2 linked regions of the Xenopus tropicalis genome follow. The protein of the gene in region 2 purifies or fractionates together with the protein of the main gene of each other region. This does not show direct contact. Links are inferred from orthologs where the notes say so. Each region holds a gene or a part of one and is shown on either strand. Other genes may lie near its edges. The genes, in order: rbm42 and serbp1.

What was found.
Region 1: the proteins of serbp1 (region 2) and rbm42 purify together in Homo sapiens (affinity purification with mass spectrometry; 3 studies listed by BioGRID and IntAct, with this or other methods). This does not show direct contact. The link is inferred for Xenopus tropicalis from reciprocal best matches to the Homo sapiens genes SERBP1 and RBM42.

Annotation. Positions count from the first base shown.
Region 1 is NC_030683.2:128,985,652-128,989,468, reverse strand, and holds part of rbm42 (RNA-binding protein 42), read right to left. Parts: coding exon 3,801-3,817; intron 3,717-3,800; coding exon 3,596-3,716; intron 1-3,595. UniProt on the Homo sapiens protein: Binds (via the RRM domain) to the 3'-untranslated region (UTR) of CDKN1A mRNA.
Region 2 is NC_030680.2:83,574,395-83,578,211, reverse strand, and holds part of serbp1 (plasminogen activator inhibitor 1 RNA-binding protein), read right to left. Parts: intron 2,497-3,817; coding exon 2,259-2,496; intron 532-2,258; coding exon 385-531; intron 283-384; coding exon 196-282; intron 1-195. UniProt on the Homo sapiens protein: Ribosome-binding protein that promotes ribosome hibernation, a process during which ribosomes are stabilized in an inactive state and preserved from proteasomal degradation.

The sequences.
Region 1 (3,817 bases), on a different chromosome or scaffold from region 2:
GCAGAGTGCCATTGAGCCCTATGGGAGGCTTTCCTTGGGCCAGGTTGGAGCTGCAGAGTGCCATTTAGCCCTATGGGAGACTTTCCTTGGGCCGGGTTGGAGCTGCAGAGTGCCATTGAGCCCTATGGGAGACTTTCCTTGGGCCGGGTTGGAGCTGCAGAGTGCCATTGAGCCCTATGGGAGACTTTCCTTGGGCCGGGTTGGAGCTGCAGAGTGCCATTGAGCCCTATGGGAGACTTTCCTTGGGCCGGGTTGGAGCTGCAGAGTGCCATTGAGCCCTATGGGAGGCTTTCCTTGGCCGGGTTGGAGCTGCAGAGTGCCATTGAGCCCTATGGGAGACTTTCCTTGGGCCGGGTTGGAGCTGCAGAGTGCCATTGAGCCCTATGGGAGACTTTCCTTGGGCCGGGTTGGAGCTGCAGAGTGCCATTGAGCCCTATGGGAGACTTCCCTTGGGCCGGGTTGGAGCTGCAGAGTGCCATTGAGCCCTATGGGAGACTTTCCTTGGGCCGGGTTGGAGCTGCAGAGTGCCATTGAGCCCTATGGGAAGCTTTCCTTGGGCCGGGTTGGAGCGGCAGAGTGCCATTGAGCCCTATGGGAGACTTTCCTTGGGCCGGGTTGGAGCTGCAGAGTGCCATTGAGCCCTATGGGAAGCTTTCCTTGGGCCGGGTTGGAGCGGCAGAGTGCCATTGAGCCCTATGGGAGACTTTCCTTGGGCCGGGTTGGAGCTGCAGAGTGCCATTGAGCCCTATGGGAGACTTTCCTTGGGCCGGGTTGGAGCTGCAGAGTGCCATTGAGCCCTATGGGAGACTTTCCTTGGGCCGGGTTGGAGCTGCAGAGTGCCATTGAGCCCTATGGGAGACTTTCCTTGGGCCGGGTGTGAGCTGCAGAGTGCCATTGAGCCCTATGGGAGGCTTCCCTTGGGCCGGGTGTGAGCTGCAGAGTGCCATTGAGCCCTATGGGAGACTTTCCTTGGGCCGGGTTGGAGCTGCAGAGTGCCATTGAGCCCTATGGGAGACTTCCCTTGGGCCGGGTGTGAGCTGCAGAGTGCCATTGAGCCCTATGGGAGACTTTCCTTGGGCCGGGTTGGAGCTGCAGAGTGCCATTGAGCCCTATGGGAGACTTTCCTTGGGCCGGGTTGGAGCTGCAGAGTGCCATTGAGCCCTATGGGAGACTTCCCTTGGGCCGGGTTGGAGCTGCAGAGTGCCATTGAGCCCTATGGGAGACTTCCCTTGGGCCGGGTGTGAGCTGCAGAGTGCCATTGAGCCCTATGGGAGACTTTCCTTGGGCCGGGTTGGAGCTGCAGAGTGCCATTGAGCCCTATGGGAGACTTTCCTTGGGCCGGGTTGGAGCTGCAGAGTGCCATTGAGCCCTATGGGAGACTTTCCTTGGGCCGGGTTGGAGCTGCAGAGTGCCATTGAGCCCTATGGGAGGCTTTCCTTGGGCCGGGTTGGAGCTGCAGAGTGCCATTGAGCCCTATGGGAGACTTTCCTTGGGCCAGGTTGGAGCTGCAGAGTGCCATTGAGCCCTATGGGAGGCTTTCCTTGGGCCGGGTTGGAGCTGCAGAGTGCCATTGAGCCCTATGGGAGGCTTCCCTTGGGCCGGGTTGGAGCTGCAGAGTGCCATTGAGCCCTATGGGAGACTTTCCTTGGGCCAGGTTGGAGCTGCAGAGTGCCATTGAGCCCTATGGGAGACTTCCCTTGGGCCGGGTTGGAGCTGCAGAGTGCCATTGAGCCCTATGGGAGACTTCCCTTGGGCCGGGTTGGAGCTGCAGAGTGCCATTGAGCCCTATGGGAGACTTTCCTTGGGCCGGGTTGGAGCTGCAGAGTGCCATTGAGCCCTATGGGAGACTTCCCTTGGGCCGGGTTGGAGCTGCAGAGTGCCATTGAGCCCTATGGGAGACTTTCCTTGGGCCGGGTTGGAGCTGCAGAGTGCCATTGAGCCCTATGGGAAGCTTTCCTTGGGCCGGGTTGGAGCGGCAGAGTGCCATTGAGCCCTATGGGAGACTTTCCTTGGGCCGGGTTGGAGCTGCAGAGTGCCATTGAGCCCTATGGGAGACTTTCCTTGGGCCGGGTTGGAGCTGCAGAGTGCCATTGAGCCCTATGGGAGGCTTTCCTTGGGCCGGGTTGGAGCTGCAGAGTGCCATTGAGCCCTATGGGAGACTTTCCTTGGGCCAGGTTGGAGATGCAGAGTGCCATTGAGCCCTATGGGAAGCTTTCCTTGGGCCGGGTTGGAGCGGCAGAGTGCCATTGAGCCCTATGGGAGACTTCCCTTGGGCCGGGTGTGAGCTGCAGAGTGCCATTGAGCCCTATGGGAGACTTTCCTTGGGCCGGGTTGGAGCTGCAGAGTGCCATTGAGCCCTATGGGAGACTTCCCTTGGGCCGGGTGTGAGCTGCAGAGTGCCATTGAGCCCTATGGGAGACTTTCCTTGGGCCGGGTTGGAGCTGCAGAGTGCCATTGAACCCTATGGGAGACTTTCCTTGGGCCGGGTTGGAGCTGCAGAGTGCCATTGAGCCCTATGGGAGACTTTCCTTGGGCCGGGTTGGAGCTGCAGAGTGCCATTGAGCCCTATGGGAGACTTTCCTTGGGCCGGGTTGGAGCTGCAGAGTGCCATTGAGCCCTATGGGAGACTTTCCTTGGGCCGGGTTGGAGCTGCAGAGTGCCATTGAGCCCTATGGGAGACTTTCCTTGGGCCGGGTTGGAGCGGCAGAGTGCCATTGAGCCCTATGGGAGACTTCCCTTAGGCCGGGTTGGAGCTGCAGAGTGCCATTGAGCCCTATGGGAGACTTCCCTTGGGCCGGGTTGGAGCTGCAGAGCTGGCACTCTGCATACAATATGTTTGGCTGCGGGGCAAGGTAGGGTGGGTGCCAAGGATGCCGGATGTGATGCGGAGGTGGGCGTGGCCTGCGCTCGGCAGATAGAAGATGCGTTTTAAGGCTTAGAACACGTGTTCTATCCGCTGGGCGCAGGGGCAAGGTAGGATGCCGGATGCGGAGAAGGGCGTAGCCTGCGCTCAGCGGATAGAAGACGTGTTCTAAGGCATAGAACACGTCATCTATCCGCCAAGCGCAGGCCACGCCCCCCATTATTTTTTTTTATTAAAGATTTGGCAGAGAGCCAGATGCAGCCATCAAAAGAGCCACATCTGGCTCCCGAGCCATAGGTTCCCTACCCCTGCTTTAGAATAATCCGGCTCCTTATCTGCCCGTGTATGGGCACGACTCACAAACCTCACCATGAAATCGGGCAGATCTCAATCGGGCAGGTTTAATTTTCCCTTGGAGCAGGGGCTGCATTATACCCCCTATACCCGCTGTTTTCAATCGATCATTTTGCCCTAGGGCCAAACGACCGAATTAGCCCAATATCGCCCACCCGTAGGTTGGCAAATCGGGAGAAGATCCGCTCGCTTGGCAACCTTGCCTTACCTTAAGGCAGCCCTATTTTGATTGGATTCCATATGCCCCCGGGATGATCCCATTAGTGGCCTGGGAGCCAAATGATTGGAGCAGCCAGATTTGGGCCGGCACACAGATGACCAAGTCGGGCACAGAGCTGCTAATATGGCAACTGAAGGGACCATGAAAATGAGCCTCACCTGACTCCCATTCCAATAAGCTCTGATCTTCCCAGGATGTTCCGGCCGCAGTGCGAATGCACCGTTTTAATTTCTCCGGCTTTGTTTTCTTTTTATCCTCCTGTACCGGTTCCAGTACCACCTACAGAACAGAACCAGTAAGGGTTTTAGACACCAGAACACAATACAGCGCTCCCTGCTCCCAATCCCAGCGCCAGGGTCCCACCTCGGGCTGCACCGGTT
Region 2 (3,817 bases):
TTACTTTAGTGTGACAAGTCCCCTTTAAGAAAGAAACCAGATTGTTTAAAAATACCTCCAAGTTTATGCCGACATGACCAGTTTACTAAAATGGTTTAGAGAGGCTTTGTTAACGTTTTATTTTAATCAACATCAGGAAACCCACTTTTAATCCACAATCTTATTTTACTCAATCACAACATTTTAGCACCCTACCTTAATTCATCCTTAACAGTGCCCCAGTTGTGTGATCCACTTCCTCCCCGTTTATCCTCATGCTTTGGGCCACTGAAATGTGAAGAACTAGCCAAAATGAGTTATATTGTCAGTGTTTGAGCATGGAGATTAGGGAAGCACAAAGAAATACAAGAAAGTCAACAACAAAAGCACTAGGCCAAGACTTACGCTCTGTCACTGCCACTATGCCTGTCAAATTCACGTTTTCCACGAGAGTCAAAGCCATCGCCCCTGCCCAAACCACGTCCACGACCGCCACGGCCACCCCTTCCACCAGGGCCACCGCGACCACGGATGGGCCTATCCACGATGGGTCTAAAAAATGAATAGATTCATTGCTATGTTTTTATTGTTAAACAATTAGAGATGCTGTTTGCGTTATAAAACTGAAGTGTTACATTTTTAGGTGAATTGCAACTTTAGTACACATTTAGTATAGTCAAGTTGTGGTGGTGTAAGAATCTGCAATTGATTTTTATTTATTTTTTTAATTGTGGAAGGAAGGAACCCCTTCACACAATTACAATAAAGATAAGGTGGTTTGAGGTGGTTACTATTCCCTTTAATGTAATCATTAGTATGCACAAACAGCTCAGCACTCTGTAAAGTTCAAAGAGTAACTGGGTCCTGCTGTTTCCAGCTAAATAAAAAACAGATACAGCATATAATTTCTATAGAAAATTAAAACAGCCAGATAGTGCTTTTAAAAGCACTTAAATTTACAAATCAAAACTGAAAATTTGTAATTGATGTATTTTGGAAAGTTGCTTACAAATTACATTTTATTTCACTATTCAAAAAAAAAAAAAGGGAAAACCCATGCCTCCTTAAACCATTAGGGGTGGTTCACCTTTACGTTAACTTTAAGTATGTTATAGAATGTCCTATTCCTAGCGACTTTGCAATTGATCTTCAGTATCTTTTTTTTTTTATAGTTTAATTATTTGCCTTCTGCCTCTACATCTTTTAAATGGGGGTCACTGACTCCAGCATCCAAAAATAATTGCTGTGCGATCTTGCAATATTATTATTTCTACCTTTAATTACTTATATTTCTATTCAGTCCCGCTCCATATTCCAGTCTCTCAGCAACCATGCAGTGGTTTAAATAAGGTAAACAAAACCCTAGCAACCAGATAACTGCTGAAATTCCAAAATGGAGTGCTGCTGAAAAAAAAAAAAAAATTGCAAACTCACAGAATCTCACTCTCTACATCATATATGCATACATAATATGCATACATAATGTTAATTTAAAAGTGGACAACCTCTTTAACAAAGTTCTAGTCTATCGTGTCCCAAAACATAGTATTAAGATACAGACTCAATAACACCAACAAGAGGTTTCTTCAGCTGACTTGTTCATGGGCAGGTAAAAAATCTGAAACTTGACACATCTGTCACTGTCCCTTAGAAGTGCTCTGCATTCACTGTTGCCCTGTCTTCTGTATCAACACATTGAACAGATTTTTCTCCCACCCAATAATAGATGCACAGCACAAGATTACTGGGTAAATTTCAGCAGTGGGTTTTAGGGGAACCTTTATTACTGTGGGTCAGTAACAGGAAGTAGCTTTTCTTTGGTGCTGGCTAGGGCAGCATTAAGGTGGCCATACACTAAGATCTGCTCGTTTAGCGAGGTCACCAAGCAAGCAGATCTTCTCATGATATGCCCACCACCTACACCATCGGTTTGGGGACCGCATTCCCTACCCAAATGAAAAATCAAATCTGCCCAATTTCAGGCCAGGCGTCAGTTGGGAAGGCCCACTGGTGGTGCCTATACACGGGTAGATAAGCTGCAAATTGATCTAAAGGACCAATATCAGCAACTGAAATCGCCCCATGTATGGCCGCTTTTACTCGTGTATCTAGGGCAGCAAAAGCTTTAAATATAGCCCTTGATATGATAACAGAGACCCAATTCTTCCTCAGGTGTGTTCAGTGTAAACAGTTCCCTTCAATAAATGGTCTATACATTTTACAATCTAAAAGCAACCTAAAATAAACATGTACATTAGCCAATTTAACATGAAACTTACCGGTCAACAGAAAATTCCCCTGCTTCTCCCTTTTCTTCAGTTGGTTTTTCAAAACGGCGTTCACGGGGTGGCCGCCTATCGGACTGCCTCCTGTCAACTGGCTTTCCTTCACCCTGTGATGACTGAGGTGGTTGCTGCTGCTGCTGTTGTTGTTGTTGTTGTTGCTGCTGCTGTTGTGTTGGTGGCTGCTGCGGCGGCTGCTGCTGCTGATCAGGTCTCCGACCAACCCGCCTGATAGCTGCAACACAGATATTAATGCACAAAGATTTGTAAAGATGTATAATCTTCTGAATTATACAGTAGTGAAATTATGAAGAGTAAATGCCCCATTTGACAGACATGGATACATTTGGTAAAAATTGGGTAGTGGGGCACTGCCTTAGATGTTTAAGATACACAGGTGAATGTATTTCATACAATTAAAAGGATTTTTTAAGTCTTGACCAGAAAGATGCGTGTTCATACACAGTTCCTTTATGGCTACAGGCTAATTAGTGTTAACCAATACATTTTCTGAGGAACACTAAGCAGCATGCCTAAAATTAAAGGTCACTAAGGGTATGCCCAGCTAATAATGTACACTGCTGGCCTATGACCAACTCTGTCAAAACCGCTTCAGTGAGTTAAGACACTTGCTAATGCAGTTAACAACAGATTTCCTATACCATCAGTAGTAAAGTGTTGTGCTCTCAACTCCCAGCAGAGGTCACTGTTTCTATGCAGGTTACTGATATTTAACTGGTTACTCTGAAAATGAACAGTAAGGCTGCCACAAATTAACAGCACAAAAATTTACAGAAATACCATAAGTCTTATGAAAGATAAATGTGCACAAAAAATCCCACACACCTTTTTATTATGCAAAACCATGTTTAAAAGGATTGTCAGGATTTCAGGATTCGTTGAGGTCTGGCATGGTGGCGAGAGACTGGCGAATTGCTAATGTGGTACCGTTATTTAAAAAGGGATCCCGTTCTCAGACTGAAAACTATAGGTCTGTTAGTCTGACATCAGTAGTAGGAAAACTTTTGGAAGGGGTAATATGGGATAGGGTACTTGAATACATTGCAGTTCACAATACTATTAGTTTGTGCCAGCATGGTTTTATGCGTAACAGATCTTGCCAGACTAATTTAGTCGCCTTTTATGAGGAGGTGAGCAGGAACCTCAATGATGGAATGGCAGTTGATGTCATCTACTTGGACTTTGCTAAAGCGTTTGATACAGTACCTCACAGAAGGTTAATGATCAAATTGAGGAATATTGGCCTAGAACATAATATCTGTAATTGGATAGAGAACTGGCTGAAGGTTAGATTACAAAGAGTGGTGGTAAATGGAACATTTTCTAATTGGACCAGTGTGGTTAGTACCGAAGGGGTCAGTCCTTGGTCCTTTGCTTTTGAACTTGTTTATTAATGACCTGGAGGTGGGCATAGACAGTACTGTTTCTATTTTTTGCTGATGACACAAAATTGTGCAAAACTATAGGTTCCATGCAGGATGCTGCCTCTTTGCAGAGCGATTTGACAAAATTAGAAAACTGGGCAGCAAACTGGA